Linked DNA regions of Tribolium castaneum. The protein of the gene in region 2 interacts with the protein of the main gene of each other region in a pairwise test. Links are inferred from orthologs where the notes say so. Each region holds a gene or a part of one and is shown on either strand. Other genes may lie near its edges.

Region 1 (4,456 bases), on a different chromosome or scaffold from region 2:
ACAAAAAAAGGCTAAAAAAACTAAATTCGTGCTTTACGACTGGTCTTATGTATGAAACTTGTTCTTTCATATACCATTATTTTTTTATACGTCGTCCACCAGGAAGAGGTCAATAAATTAATGAAATTTTTACAGTAGTCTCTATGAGTGATATAAACATATACATTTTTTTGAGTTGTTGTTTTTAAATGGAAATACCTTTAACCCCAAGAGCTAGAACGAACCACTATTTTAATGTTTTTGTTTAATAAAAACCACTCCTTTAAAAATACTGTCTTTAAATTTATAGAAAACACACAAAATGAAAGGTCAGATGTAATTTATAGTTTTTTATATTACTTTACATTTAATAGTAATTTGTAGACTTATAGAGAGAAAACGATTGACTGACTTATCTCATTATTCTGCTGAACAAATGTTCACAAATTTTCGGTGTTATAACAAAATTGTTTAATAACATCTAAATAAACCACTCTATTGCAAAAACAATTATTGCATTTGAAAGAGAGGGACTTTATAGCATACGTTTCTATATTTTTCTCAAAATGACAAAAATTGGACATATTTCGTTATAACATTGAACAGTGAAGACCCCATTTTTCACCTGTTAGAACCATCCAGTAAGCAGGCATGTATGACTAGATTTTTTAAACATAATTTAGGACCACTGGCGTTGTGCCACCAAATTTTCTGTTATTAATAACTAATTTGTGTTCTTTTCGTTACATTTAATCAAGTTACAAGTTGTTTTGTGGCTAATTATTAATCTTTTTCATGGATAACATCACAACATCTTATTAAATTTGAGTAAAATCAAAAATTGTCAACCCCCACTTTTTTTTCGCAGACCGACACTAAAAATAAATTGTGACCAAAAATTTATTCAAAAAGACCTATGCTTTCAATAAACACTAATAATAGTAATAATACAGAATAAAAACAAAAATTTTCACTTTTTGTTACAGTGTTATTACCTGTAATATTTTTAACTAATTTTTACTGGAACAACTGATTTTCTTTTTCTTTTTAACAATTTAATTTCAATATGATAGAAACAAAAATAAATCGCATTTTTATCATTTTGAAATGTGTAGGAGTACTTAATAAAATGTATTAACTTGGAAAATTCGAAGTGTAATATTTCTAAACGTCGGTTTAATTTTTTACTTTGTATTTCTTCTCTTTATTCATTTCAGTTCCTAATAACACTAGTTTACAACGTTTTTTGCCAATAGATGAAACCAATGCGTATCGGTAAGTCTAATACATTCACTTAATGATATTTTAAAGCAAATAAAATGTTTAACAATTAGTTCATCACAGAAACAACGGATGCTAAATTAGACACCAGAAACCAATTTTCAAAACTTTTAGTGAACATTAAAAAAAAACTAGATGTGATAGAAAAATGTAACATACAGGATGTTTCAAAATTGACAAATTCCGAGGTCAGAGCGTTGTAAAGAATCACTTCACTAGACTAAATGTAAAAACAAAATAAAGATTCGGAACTTCCCCACAAGGATACAGTGGTTTGAAGGTGCACGTCAGCTCACTTTGAATTGCGTTTTCTTCAAATGAAGGCTAAAAATTTTTCATTATTTTCATTTTTATTACTTATGATGTAGATGATTGTGGAAGATAATAATGTAAAACAATATTTCAAAAAATCAGCTTCATTTTAGAGTAAAAAATTTAAATTTTTGTAATTTTTCTTAAAAACAAAACGGCAAATTAAAAAAATTAAGATTTTAAAAACTCCAAAATAATATAAAAAAATAAATATAAATATAAAATAATAAAGCTAGTTTTTTGAGAAATCGTTCACAGTTATTATTCTTCACAATCATCGTCACCACAAATAAGAATAAACACTGAAACATATAGGCTGAATTAAAAAAAACGCAGTTCAAAGAGTAATCTTCAAACCAATGTATCTTTGTGAGGCAGCCCCGAATATTTTTTTGTTGGTAACATTTGAAGCCTTCTTTTTAATATCTGAATCCTAGATTTTAAACACTATTTTAAAACGCTTTTCCCATAGCAACGTGTTTTCATTTAAGTTCAAATATTCCAAAAAAAAAAATTTAATAACACTCATGCGAAAACGCTTTTAAAGTTCTCGAACTTTAAGTTTTTGTTTTTGCTCCCGTATTATTAATAACTCTTTTCGATGTTTGGACTACTAAAGCAATTCTCTACAGTGCTCAGAACTCGGAATTCGCCAATTTTGATACACCCTAAATGTTTTTTTAATACTGTGTTGCCAAATAGCCTGTATATTTTTGTTATCAGTGAGTAAGTAGAAAACAAAATTACCTAGTAGAAATGATTTCTTAGTAAAAGAAAAAAAATTGTAAACTAGTGTAATTAATATATCCATTTATTATCCCAGCTAGAATGCTCTAAACCCCTACGTGTTTCTTAATATGTATTTTATTGCTTTTTGTATTACAATTAATTCATGTAATTCATCAGTCTTCACAAATGATTCAAACAGCGAACAGTTTTAACAAAAATGGGGGCCGGCCCATGTCACCCATACACACCACCTACAAACCACACAAGTATTAAACAAAAATTAATACGTTAAAAAATTATTAGTATAAAAGTAAAATTTTGTAAGACTAATTTTGCATAATTCTATTAATATAAGTCCTTCAAGTAATTAATTCTAACCAAAAAAAATCTATTCTATCTGCCTGTTTTTATTGGTTTTATTCTTAATGCATTAAAAAAGACCAATCGATGCCACAACTAGGACACAGGTGGGGGGGTATAACCAATATTTAGAGTAGGACGGTATTATCGTATTAATAACCACATACACACGCTTTCCAAATTCAGAGGTAAATGAGACAAGATGTAAACTTTAAATACATTCAAAATTTAACACAATTTCGAGCAATTTTACGAAACGTTAAAACATAACCTCAAAAACGCCGGTCACACATCCAAACAAACAGACGATAAAAGCCACTTACCTCGATCAAATTTCTTTCCCTCAGGATCAATATCTTTCACGTTGAATATATCTTCAAACAGGACACCTGCCATCGTCGAATAACGTGTAAATAATAAAAAATTAACACACTTTAATACTTTCTTATGAAAATGGGCAAATTTTGACAGACATCAACACTTGACAGTGTTCCAACCAGTGCCGCCATCTGAAAGGCCAATTCCCCAAACAAAACCAAAACAAAAACGTCACTGTTTAAATGTCAAAGGTCCACTAGAAGTGTCAACACCAAACTTTAACCTAGTTGAAATTAATAATTTATTAAATGAAAATGGCAACACTACCCCCTAGGAGGAACCCCACACCTACAAAAATATCCAAACAGCACCTGACCCCGCTACAAATCCTCCTCCAGATGGGGTTCCCCAAACACAGAGCGTGAGTAAACAAAATGATAATAAACTTTCGGGTAACTTGAAATTACACACAGCGAAAAGGCCTTAGCTGCCACTGGTAACAGGGGCGTGCAGTTGGCCTCCGACTGGTTACTGGCCCACGTAAATGACCCATTGCTGGACGATAACTCTCCAAGGGAGTACATTTTATATGCGTGTCCCACGGGACCTTTCCTGGAACAGTTACAGACCTTCTGGGAGAAGTCGCACAGGGAATGCGCCTGGAACGGGGCCCACAATTTCACGCCGCACATTACGCTAGTTTCGTTTTTTAAGGTATTTCATTTGATAAATTTTGAATTCGTTTAATGATGTGTAACAGGCGCCTGATGAAGACGCCCTACATCTGGCGCAAAGCCTAAAGTCCGTAATGGAAAGGCAGGGCGCTATGTTGAACGAGCCCCTAAAACTAGAAACGTATACTTCTCCAAATTTTATGGGGTTTTTTGTGGCGGAGGAGCACGCTGATTATTTAAAAAGGATTGCCATGCAATATGTTAAAGAAGTTTCAAATGCTAGTAAGTCGATTTTTCTATAAACCAGTAGATGGGCATGTTTGTAACTTTGTTGGTTTTTGATTACCAGAAAAATATTTAGATAATGATTGGTCCTTATTATTACTAATCATGTTTTCTCAACATTGTAAATAAATTGATAACGACACATGCTTGCATGGTAATCAAATTACTTGTAGTTGTTCTTAATACTAGCATGACAATCTGGCTAAAGGTGGTGGTTATTTGCAGTTATTAGTGACACATACGAACATTTCGATGCTCTAACAGCCTGTTTTCCGTGGTGTACCACAACAACTGCTCGTTGCATTCCTCGGGGAAGTAGATGTAAGCAAATTGTAGTTTAGTGTAGTTTCCTCTAGATAATTATCATTTTTTTGTATTTATTTTCTATTAAAAGTTTGAATTTTTACTTTGCTTTTCCTTTTGTTACTAACATTTATTTATCCTTTTACTGAAGTTGCTGGTTTACTAACAGTTTTATATTCTCTTACCTATCATTATCCTAACATGTGAATTAGTTA
Region 2 (3,009 bases):
TTATTTTTTATATAATCTAGTTGAAATAAAGTAATTATTACAAGTGTGTGTTTAGGAGCGCAATAAACAACTAAGATTAATACAAACTTACCAAACGTGCGATTTGAGCGACTTTTTATCACTTAAAATTTTATCAAACTTTTTCAAATGACATAATTGACAAACTGAATTGCCAACCTGGCAACAAAAATACGTTTTCCACAAATAATTCGAAAAAACACAATTTTACCGTAAATAAAATAATATTTCGTGACCACTGATCAATTTTCGCACAAACTATTTTATTATTACAGGTTTTAAGGAACATTTTAGCAAACTTCAAAAAACTGTAGTTTTGCAACAAAAGACGATCAAACACGAAAAAACAAAAAAATTAGCATTTTTAGCGTTAAAAACGTGCAATTGTAATAAAAGTATATTGCAAGCTTACCTCAAATGAGTCTGGCCGTTTTTTTATCAAACGTAATCACTTTTTGTGATTAACAATTTTTCAAAATAACGCAATTGTTAGTCACCTGTCAGCAAACAAATTTTTGACAGCCGACAAATTTAAAAAGATTTGGTACATTTTAATAAATTTATTGATTAATTGTTGGTGACTGGAACTGGTGGGGCAAGAGTTGCCCCAAATCGGTCACAAAAACGTGCTCCAGGTCCGACTTCGAAATAAAAATTTTCATGTTGCCGTATTCGCTCATGAACTGCCTGCAGGCGCCACATGGGGTGGTGTAGACGTTTTCTTGGTTGCCTATCACAGCCACAGCTTTGAAACTTTGGAACCCTTCACTAATGGCCTTGGCTAGAGCCGTCCGTTCGGCACAAATCCCCACAGTGTAGGCCGAATTTTCAATATTACATCCCCCGAAAATAGCCCCCGTGGTGGTGGCAACTGCAGCCCCCACTTGAAACTTGGAGTAGGGACAGTACGCAAAAAGACGACTGGCGGTGGCTTGTCTTAAGAGAGCCTGCGTTTCAGAATCTGCAAATGTGGTTACATAACCTATTTTGCAGGTTTCAATTCAGGGCTTATTTTTGGGTTTTGGGGCTTCGGGGAGAGACGTACCCAAAGAAGCGAATTTTACGACGTTGGCACTGGTGGGGTCACTTGATGACATTATTGTTAAAATCGATTTTAAAGTAATTCTGACTAGGATTTAAAAGTGCACACTTGGAATGAGTTTGCATTACTTTGTTGTTCATTTTTATCGGCGAGAAATCTGATTTTTAGCCATTAAGACAGATAACAAAAACACTGCTGGGGAAAACCCGGAAAGTTTTAATCACATTTTATTGTTATTTGGCGAGTAATTGGCGTGACTTATGGCTCTGTTGCCCAAATTAAATCAAATAATTTAATTACGCACTGAATAATTATTAAAAATTTAAATAAGGCACCGCAATAAAAAAACTTGTGTGTTTTGTTCTAATGTCGAGTTTATGCGTTATTTACGCGCATTTAATAATAAATTAAAAATTAGATAACGTTATCAAAAAAAATAAAACAATTGAAAATCCATACGTAACTGAGTCAGCTGTTATAATCCGTTATATCTTGGCATAAATGTTTGTATCTTATCCGAATTTTAATGTTTTTTTGATATAGAATAAGTTCAAAGTTTGTTTTATGAATAATTAAAAAAATATGGTAAATGTGGTTGGAGAAAAAACTACTATGTATGCCGAAATAGCTCAGTTGGGAGAGCGTTAGACTGAAGATCTAAAGGTCCCCCGGTTCAATCCCGGGTTTCGGCAATCTTTTTTTTTCTTTAATAATAGCAACAGACCTTTACTAACCAATCCAACAAAAAATCATCAGAATTTTTGAAAAATAACAAAAATAGAAATAAAATAAAATTCTCTCTTTTGAATATTAGTTCAAATCACACTTTCATAAGATGGCGCTGCAAAATCTAACCTAAAAAATCAATTGACGCTTGTCTCCGACAAAAACGCTGTGTTTGTGACACGATATAGAGACAGACAGGTAAACCAACTCGCTATTATAATTGATTCTAACGCTGGAGCAAGTTGATAGATGGCAGCACGGTAGACTGGGACTGTCACAATTTCACAAATTTTCTTTGTTTTTTATAAAAAAATGATGCGAAATTAAAAAATGTTATCTCAGCACCCAAGTTAGTCATCTTGTAACAACTTCTGCTTTTTTCGCGCTGAAATAATAATATTTTCTGAATAGTTCTAAACTTCGGTTCGATGCATTTTCGGCCGCGAAAGACATCGAAACATTGAAGTCAGAATAAATGCTTTCCAGAAAAAAAAACTCCACTACCATTCGGTGCGGGCATCCTTCAGGTATTAATTGTTCTTCATAAATGTCATATTTTTAACAACGTGATGCGTGTATCTTTTTTCTTGTAAACATTGTGACAGTCCCAGTCTACGCTGGTGCCATCTGTCAGATAAAATAAAAGCTCCAACTTGCTCCACATTTTGGTTTGCGCCCGACAATGGAAAATAAGGGAAGTTGGTTCACCAGGACTATCTATACATGGTGGTTTGTGATAACAGAAAGTGATTACGAAATGGTTACAGGAAGTGGCAGAGGAGCTTCAAAGTTGGATCAGTGGGACGGAAAATGGACAAATGAGCGGGAGTTTGCAAGGACGGGAATAATTGAGGTTTATTTCAAATGAGAAAAAGGGCGGATTGAATGCATAAAAATGGCCAACATTGAGAAAAAGCTGACAGGGAGGGAAAGTGAATTGATTGATAAATCGAAAGATCGAACTCAATTGATAAATTATTAATCACTTATCCACGTGAAAAGTACGAGCTCTTACAACAGAATATTTGGACGAAATCTTGTTTTATTTAATAAAAAAATTGGTTTTATTCCAAATAGACTTTATTCAACTGTCAAAATTCATGGCTACTATGATTTTTTCAAAATGGTTATCAAGTTGTTGGTAACTTATCTTATCTGTCATAGTTTTTGACATGTCAATTTTTTTGGTAAAATTTTCATTTGCAAGAGTTTATCTAAGATGT

Evidence for each region.
Region 1: the proteins of cytidine deaminase (region 2) and Polr2H interact in a two-hybrid assay, tested with the Caenorhabditis elegans proteins (2 studies listed by BioGRID). The link is inferred for Tribolium castaneum from reciprocal best matches to the Caenorhabditis elegans genes cdd-2 and rpb-8.

What each region holds. Positions count from the first base shown.
Region 1 is NC_087396.1:10,332,437-10,336,892, forward strand, and holds the start of Polr2H (DNA-directed RNA polymerases I, II, and III subunit RPABC3), read right to left. Parts: upstream 3,121-4,456; 5' UTR 3,058-3,120; coding exon 2,985-3,057; intron 1-2,984. Other genes in the region: Epp (ecdysteroid-phosphate phosphatase), read left to right, coding at 3,288-3,400, 3,453-3,693, 3,740-3,935, 4,164-4,259. UniProt on the Caenorhabditis elegans protein: DNA-dependent RNA polymerase catalyzes the transcription of DNA into RNA using the four ribonucleoside triphosphates as substrates.
Region 2 is NC_087399.1:3,313,374-3,316,382, forward strand, and holds cytidine deaminase, read right to left. Parts: upstream 1,373-3,009; 5' UTR 1,116-1,372; coding exon 1,064-1,115; intron 980-1,063; coding exon 579-979; 3' UTR 559-578; downstream 1-558.